Linked DNA regions of Mus musculus. The protein of the gene in region 2 interacts with the protein of the main gene of each other region in a biochemical or structural test. Links are inferred from orthologs where the notes say so. Each region holds a gene or a part of one and is shown on either strand. Other genes may lie near its edges. The genes, in order: Tesc and Slc9a1.

Evidence for each region.
Region 1: the proteins of Slc9a1 (region 2) and Tesc form a complex in vitro, tested with the Homo sapiens proteins (4 studies listed by BioGRID and IntAct, with this or other methods). The link is inferred for Mus musculus from reciprocal best matches to the Homo sapiens genes SLC9A1 and TESC.

The regions. Positions count from the first base shown.
Region 1 is NC_000071.6:118,026,130-118,030,717, forward strand, and holds the start of Tesc (calcineurin B homologous protein 3), read left to right. Parts: upstream 1-1,613; 5' UTR 1,614-1,800; coding exon 1,801-1,858; intron 1,859-4,588. UniProt on the Homo sapiens protein: Functions as an integral cofactor in cell pH regulation by controlling plasma membrane-type Na(+)/H(+) exchange activity. Promotes the maturation, transport, cell surface stability and exchange activity of SLC9A1/NHE1 at the plasma membrane.
Region 2 is NC_000070.6:133,414,459-133,418,259, reverse strand, and holds part of Slc9a1 (sodium/hydrogen exchanger 1), read right to left. Parts: intron 2,960-3,801; coding exon 2,709-2,959; intron 1,980-2,708; coding exon 1,762-1,979; intron 361-1,761; coding exon 158-360; intron 1-157. UniProt on the Homo sapiens protein: Electroneutral Na(+) /H(+) antiporter that extrudes Na(+) in exchange for external protons driven by the inward sodium ion chemical gradient, protecting cells from acidification that occurs from metabolism.

The DNA.
Region 1 (4,588 bases), on a different chromosome or scaffold from region 2:
GACCAGCCGCATTAGGCTTTGTGTGGACAGAGCCCTGCTGGGTGCTCACATCACTCACTGCCAGAGGGGGAGGGTGGGTGCCTCCACCGCAGCACCCACGCAGCTTCGCGGAGCCCGCTGTTCTGTGGGGCCACGGGTGGGGACAATTACGGACTCTGAAGCTCAGTGTGGACATTGAGATCTCTGCGCTCCTGAGAGCTCACCCTGGCTGTTACTCCCACTCCATCTGCAGCGAAGGTGGTGTCTTATCCCTGTTTGCAGCTCAAAGATCTAGTCGGGACCTTGCACATAGTAGACCATTAAGAAACACGCATTAAATGAGTGAACAAATACACAAGTCAAATTGTCGCCCCCTTTCCTGAGGACTCCTCGCAGCCCCCCGGGGGGAGGGGCGGGCTCTCCTTGGCAACCACACCCCAGCCTGGTGAAAATAGACACTTGATAAGGCCTCTCCGAGGAGGCCTACACAGAGATCCCAGAGGAAGAGGGGGGCTCGGTAGAAGGATCGAGCACCAAGGGAAGGCACTGTCAGCTTGGAGTGCGGGTGTGTCTGGGGTTGCTGGCGATGGGGGAGGGGGTCTTCCCCGGCCTGGAGAATGCAGATCCTCTGTAGACAGAAAACTTAGTTGCAGGAAGACATAGATCATGGCATATTTTAGAAACCCCAACATCCCGGGACCTGGGGAGCCCTTTCCTGCCCTCCACCCCACAGAGATCTGTCTGGGTTTTTAGAATTCTTGGAGACCTGAGGCGGTCCAGCCTACTCAGCAGCGATGCCCCACAGCTAAGCTTCCCTTGCTTCTCGGGTGGGAGCAGTTTCCGTGAACTCTGGGCAGCTGCAGGGAGGACGGGGGATCTTCAGGGAGGATCTCCAGGGGCAGACTCAGCTCCCCGGAGGCTCAGAGTGGGTGATAATCGGGGTTTCAGTGGTGGGGCCGGTTCTTCTGGCTCTGCCGAGACCCCTGGGTTGGCTAGAGTGGGCTCCTGAGAACGCCAGTTCCAAGGATGCGCACCCACGGCCGTGACTGGCGAGGTGAAAGATCGTGGGGATCCCAGCACTTCCAGCCAGAACAGACTCTTGGCAGCTAAACCGGACGTCACTAAGCAGAGCAGGGCATGGCGGGCTCCCAGGGCAGCCTTGAGGTTGAATGTTTCCCTCCCGGAGCACCAGCCCCTTCCTCATCAATTGAACAGGATTCCATGGTAACCCGGCGCCTTTCTCCCTCTGCGCCCTACGGTGAGCATCTCACCGCAACCCTATTTGGAGATGGAGAGATGGTGGTTAGACCAGCAGCAGGACTGGCCAGTCAGGACCTCCTATCTCATCAGGATCCCCGGGACTCATCGGTCTCACCTTCTCTACTCAGTCCACGCCTGTCACCTGCGATGCGCGCTCCTCTGGGCGCCCACCTAGGTGCAGGGCGCGGGGGAGGGGATCTTTCACACTGGGCACACTCGCGTGCCCTCCTCTGTCCCAGCGCCGAGGCTCCGCCGCTGGACCCCGCAGAGTGGGCGGAGGGATGCGGGTCGCGCTGCCCGCAAGCTCATCCCGCGGGGCTGCGGCAGGGGCAGAACCACGTCGTGTCCTCCCCCCACCCCCATTCCCGCCCCCGCGGCCGCGAGGGAAGCGGGCGAGCGCTAGGACCGCGCCGCTCCGCCTCCCGCCGCTATAAGAGGCCGCTCGAGCCCCACGCGGAACCGGCTCCGCGCCGCTGTCCCCGCGTCCCCACCCGGCTCCAACGCAGCGCAGCCCAGGCAGTCCCCGGCCTGCGTGGGGCGCCCGGGGCCCCGCGGCGCACCATGGGCGCTGCCCACTCGGCGTCCGAGGAGGTGCGGGAGCTCGAGGGCAAGACCGGCTGTGAGTACCACACCGTGGCCGGGAACCCTCGTTGGCGGGGACCATCGCCTGCATGCCCCCGCTTCGCGCCACCGTGCTGTGTGACCTTGGGCTAGTGGCTTGCCCTCTCTGTGCCCCGTTCTCGGGCTGCTTCTGATGGGTTCCCGCCAGCCGCCGTGCGGGCGACGCCGCTGGGAGGGGTTGGCAGCGACTCGGGCCTGGGGTAAGGGTGGCCCGAGAGGCGACTTGACCCAAGCCTCACCCGACCAGGGCGGAGCCCGGCAGGTAGCCGTGGCTTTGAGGGCCGGCGCCCCGGCAGCTCGGGAGAGCGCCGAGCGCGCGCTGCACCTGCAAGTCTGCGGCTGGGGAGCGGGGAGGAAAGTTTGGAAGTGGCGGGACCGGGAGGAGCCGCGCGGTCCGCGGTGACCTTAGGCGGGGGTCACCCTGCCGCCTCCCCGTGCGTCCCCACCCCCCGGCTGCAGGCTCGGGCACCGAGCCCAGCGTCCTCCAGGCTGGCCCGCACTCCCGGGACCGCAGAGGCCGGGCGGGGCGCGCCTGGGGGAAGCGCCCGTCCGCCCCGCGCTTGACCCTGGGCTCAGAAGCGACCAGGGGACCCGGACTTGCACGAGGGTGGGCAGGCGCGTGGACTCAACCTGTTTCGGTGGTGGGACAGAGCGGGTTGTGAGTTCTGCCAGGACTGTGTGACCTTGGACCAGTCAGTTCCCGTCTCAGTTTGCCTCCTCTGAGGAATGGGAGACTGGCGCACCCCCAGGGTTCCTGCGGCAGGAGGTTGCGGCTGAGTTGAGAGCACCCAGTCAGCCCCCCTCACCCCCCCAGAGGGGGACTGGGCTGGCACTCGCCTCCCCAGAGCCCGGTGAAGTCATAGAAAGTCCCCAGCTGCTGAGCGTCTACACCGCGCACACAGTATGCGAAGTGTGCAGCGGATCCGCGAGAGTCGTTTACACGACCCACTAAGGGCGCGCGCCATCGAGCCAGTCCCGGTGAGGGTCGACTGTGAGTGCGCTGCCTGGAGTGTGCGCACGGCGTGCAAGGGGAACCGCGTGCGAGCGGGAGTGTGGGCGCACTGTGTGCAAACCGGGAGTGTGTGCACGCACTGTGTGAAAGTCGAGAGTGTATGCACACTGTGTGTGAGACAAGCAGGTGTGTGTGCACAGTGTGTGAAAGTCTAGAGTGTGCGGGCACTTTGTGAAAACCAGGAGTGTATACACACTGTGTGCGAGGCAAGCAGGTATGTTTGCACACCGTATTGAAGGCAAACTGAAGTGTGTGCACTTCAATCAAACTGAAGCGTGGTTGTGTGTGCACACTGTGGGCACTGCAGTTTGAAGCACGGTTTCACTTTGGGGCTCGGGCTGCTCTGATCGGGGACACTCCCTGCCTCAGTCTCCCCAGTTCTGGGACTGCAGGGCAGCACCCTCCCCCACTTTTGTATTTTCTCTCTGAATTCATTTTGCTGACTACAAACCAAAAGTTTCATAAACCTGCCCCCGCCCGCCTCCTCCCAGGCCCACGTGATGGAGGACAGCAGGAGTCCCCGCCCACTTTGACTCGGTTTGACCCATTGCCAGTTGCTGTCCCAGATGGTGTGGGGAGAGCTGGGATTCCGGGTGCAGGTTGGGTCCCCACCGGAGCAGCACCCAGGGCCTTCTGGGGAAATTCCTGCGGGCTGTGGGTTTGACAGTGACGGGCTGCAGAGCATGCTGGGAGCCTTGTCAGTTTCCTGGGCCCAGCCTCCCACGGTGACAGATGCTCAGGCTCAGTGGCTGCCTGGAGGTGGCTGGGGTGGCTTCTTCACTTGCTGCCTGTGCTCAGAATTCAATTCTAAAGGGAGCTGGGCGGGGGGGGGGGGGGGGGGAACGACGGGACCCAAGGTTATGCCACCCCCACCCCTGGGGTCCCACAGGCCCTGAAGGTGCTGGTCTAGTCTGGGCACTTACACCCGTTTGGCAGATCCTTAGAGTTTTTGAGGATTTTAGAGGATGTGGAGGTGACCCAGAGAGGCCAACATTCCCACACAGGATGCACAGGACACAGATCCACCCCACCAGTCTTAGGTTTCCAGGAACAAGCAACAGGGGGAGAGGATGGGAAGAGGTAAGCAGGTAACTAAGGAGCCAGTCATGTGACAGTGACCAGAACATCGGAGTGGCAGGTGCCATGGCCCTGTGGCAGGAGGCAGTTGATCACCTCAGTGAGGTTGGCCGATGGATGACATAGCAGTCCTCCAGGCTCAGGCTGCACTGCAGCCCCAACTTCAGGGGTCCCCTGTGCTCCCCGTGCCTCAGTTTTCCCTCCTGTCAGATGGACATAGCAATAGAACTACATTGAACTAGGTCTTGGTCCCTGTATCCCTGCTGTGTGTGTGACCTTCAGTAGGTCACTGCCTCTCTGGACCTCAGTGCTCCACCTGGGTGTCGCCGCCTCTGAACAATTGTGTGGAGGAGATATTAGCCAGGAAGGCTCCGGACGTGGCGTGGGGTTGGACAGGGCTGTGGTATGAGAACTTATACATGTCCAGGGGAACACCACTGCACTTGGGCTTGCCTATACCAACACTGAGAACTTCACACAATACACAGTAGGTGTGTCTTCACCCACATCTTCCAGAAAGGAGATAAGGCTGTTTCCTCTCCTGAGGGAAACTGAGGCTCGGAAAGAGACAGCATCTTGCCTTCAGCACCACAGCCAGGAGTGGAGGGTTGAGAGATGGAGGATTCCCCACCACACACT
Region 2 (3,801 bases):
ACTTCTCATTGTCACAGCTGAGAACTGAGGCCTCAAAGGGGGACGGCTTGCCCAAAGTCATGCGGCAAGCTAGTGACAGCATGCCCACAGCCTTTTTTTTTTCTACCACAAAAGTCGGGGCCCCCAGGCAGGGGTCTGCCCACCCCAGGCCCAGCACCTGCACAAAGACGGTGAAAAAGATGACGGTGATGATGGCGGTGAGGAACAGGTCACACATGGGGAAGTGCTTCTTGTCCAGGAGGTAGCCCAGCGAGAAGGCGATGGCCCCTCGCAGGCCCCCATAGGCAATGATGAACTGGTCCTTGGGGGTCAGCTTGACAATGCGGAACTTGTTGATGAACCAGGTCAGGACCAGGACACCTGCCAGGGAGCAGGCGGAGGAGAGGTCAGGCGGTCCAGGAAGCTCCTCCCACTACGTCCAACCGTCCAACCAGCTCACTCGGTTCCTGGGTCCCGCAGCCCAGGAACTCCAGCTCACTCATCCAAAACCTTGGTAGGTCTTTAAAGGGTTCCTCAACCTGCATTTGTTCTGAATATCCCAGAGGCCTTCACGGGGTACAGGTCAAGGGACTGGAGGAAACAATCCTGGTACTGAGTTTGAACTTATTAAAACAGGTGGGAAATAATTACCCTATTGTCTCTACTTTTCTAGAGACTGGGAATTGTTCATAGTGAACCACTGTTTCGAAGTGTAGGCTGTGAGGAGGGATGCAGAGAGTGCTTGCCCTGGATCTGGGCAGTTCACAGCTGAGATCCCAGCACTTGGGAGGCTGAGGCAAAAGAATCACCAAGAGTTCTAGGCCAGCCTGATCTGTATAGTAAGATCCCGTCACAAACAACTAACAACCCTAAACAAACAAACAAACAAACCTTAAAAACTGTGGATGGGGGAACATACGGTGGACCTCTGGCTCCTAAGTGCACGTGTGCGGAAAAGGGAGTAAGATAGAGAATGCAGCAGCGGCCTGGCCATGGAGGCCAGGAGAATCTAGCACAAGGGCAGAGCCCACAGACCCGATTCCATGGGTGACACTAGCCTGGTAGCTTTGGACACGTGCGCCATGACAACAGAACACTTGGCTCAGGGTTCCAGGCTGGGTTGAGGACCTGAGAGCCACCAGGCTTTTGGAGAGTCTAGAGGCCCTTCACCATAACTTTCTGCGACAGTGTCTGCGGAGCCTCCACGTGAGCAGGAGGCAGGCATGCGGCTTCTCCCTAATGCTCTCAAATGGTGTCAGCGTTGCAGAGAAGCAATGGGAGCACCCAGAGCCATTCAGAAGGGACAGGGACAGGGACATACTGCACTCTACATATCTCACCAGCCCCTCCATATGCTATACTACAGACACCCCGACACACTGTACTAGACACCCGCACTTAGTTCCTCCACACACTGTACTATAGAGACCCCACAGGCCAGCCCCTCAATACACCGTAGTGGGCACTCAGCCTATCCTCTCTACATATGATATGATACCATACAATACAGCCCAGCTCTTAGACACATTACTACGTAGACACAAACAGTACTACACACAGACACAGTGCAGCTCTTAGAAACATCAACACACTTACAAACCCACAACCTAGCCCCACACTATATTACACATAGCTACTCCATAGCCCAGCTCCTCTCCCTACAGTCACGTGTATACTGTTTCTCTCTCTCTCTCTCTCTCTCTCTCTCTCTCTCTCTCTCTCTCTCTCTCTCTCTCCCTCTCTCTCTCTCTCTCCCCTCCCTGGCCTGGGCCTGGCCCTTACCCAGCACCCGGGCGATGAGGCAGAAGAGCAGGGTGCTGATGACGAAGGTCCAGTTCCACTGGTGGGAGCCGGCCACAGTGGAGACGCCGAGGAAGATGAAGATGAGGGTCTCACTGACGCTGCTCCACATCTTCAGGAAGTACTTGATGGTGGTGTGGGATTTGTGGGAGATGTTGGCCTCCACATAGGGGCGCATCACTACTCCTGAGGCGATGAGGCTTGGGGTGAAGAAGAACGGGGTGCAAGGTTACAGGCTGACAGTCCAGGCTGAGCAAGCACTAGCTCACTGGACAACTGTGAGGGCCAAACGCCCATGGTTTTCCCTTGATCCTCACACCAAGTACACAGGGCCAGCAAATTCAGACGAGACACGGGAGTTTTAGAAGAATTAAGTCACCTCCACTGTGCACACTGCGTCTGCCCCGACAGCCAGGGCCACACTCTGTGGTCTTTTGGGTTCACCCCTTCCCAGTATAAAGTTCCCAACACACAGGGTTCCTCTAGGGAGCTGTGCTGGCTCCTTCCCCGCTTCCCAGAGTCCCCGGTCTAGGTTGGCCTGCACACTTCTACTTTCCTTGTGCCTCACTGACTCTTCTCAGGGGCCTCTGAGATTCAGGCGTGGAAGATGCCTGGTGAGCCCTTCTGGGGAGCCTTGTCGGCTTCCATCTTTAAGAAAATGGGAGGAAGTAGGACTGAGACCTAAGACTTCCAGCTCAGTTTCCTAGGGTAGTAGTAGATTCTGCCCATAATGTTCAGATTCCTGAATCCCAGGAGTCCAATGGAAGTGGCTTCTTATGGAAGGCCTCTAATGACCTGGGCCACGTCAGCGTCTACCATGCAAGCCTGGAGCCTCAGGTGCTGGGGCGCTCCTTCGTGACCACAGAGATCCGGAGACTCCATGGTAAGTAACTACCCCACCAAGCCCGTCACCTGCCACTCCGACTCACGCCATGATTCCGGACAGGTGGAAGAGCTCAGCTGACAGGTAAGCCATGTAGCTGTAGAGGAAGACGAAGAGCGGCTCGATGACCCGGATGTGAGAGGTAAATCGGGAGGTGAAAGCTGCGATTACCCCGTAGACCACGCCCACAAACACCCCACCGAGGGCCACCACGAAGAAGCTCAGGAAGCCGAGGAAGATGTCCGAGATGCCCACAGAGTCATAGCTGGCAAATTCCTCAAAGAGGTGATAGAGGACCTGGGGAGAGCACACAGGCTGGTAGGCAGGAGGGCAGGGCCCTGGCCCCATGGCTCCCTGACACTGTCCTTCCACAATTCACAACCATGGATTCAGACCTCAAGGCAGCTAAGTGCTAAGTGTGTAGAACCTAGCCTGGGGCTTACGGAGCGGCACGTGCTAGAGGAGCACACTGGGGGCCTGCAGCACCCCCTGCTGGTAATCAACATACACTCTTAAAGCTACAATCCTTTGCACACATGGCCTCATTTTCCCGTGCTTCAGTTTTCCACAAGGTGGGGGACAATTGGGGTGCTCACATCACAGGGCTGTCATAAGAACTAAGTAAAGCACTCAGCATGATTGGGACTCCCTGTGGTACTCTCCTTCAGCACAAGTTTAGACAGTAAACCAGGACAGGACCAGTCAATCTCTGAAAGTAACTGGGGCCAGGTCATATGTGACCTGGGATCCACCAAGTAGGACCGAGAAATCTCCATTTAAACAAGCTGCCTGGTTACAATGGGCAGCCAGGCTCACATGCTGTGGAGCTGGAGGCCCTGGAATGGGCCACAGCCTGCACATGGTGGGCACAATCTCTACTGGGATGCAGGTCAAGAACCTATGCCCTTGGTAGAGGGAGGCTCAGGCAGGCCCAAAACCTATTCCTTCAGTTTCTGAGGGACTGACTGGCACGGCTGCTCTCAGTCTAATCAAGTCTAGCCCTAGAGAGCTCTGCCAGAAACCAGCTTTGGGGGAGGGGAGATGTTCCAGGCCTGGAAAGAAGGGGCAACAGGCAGGAAAGAGTGAGAGGACAGAGCTGATGCCAGGCAGCTCAGGTGCAGCCTCACTGTCTGGGGCAT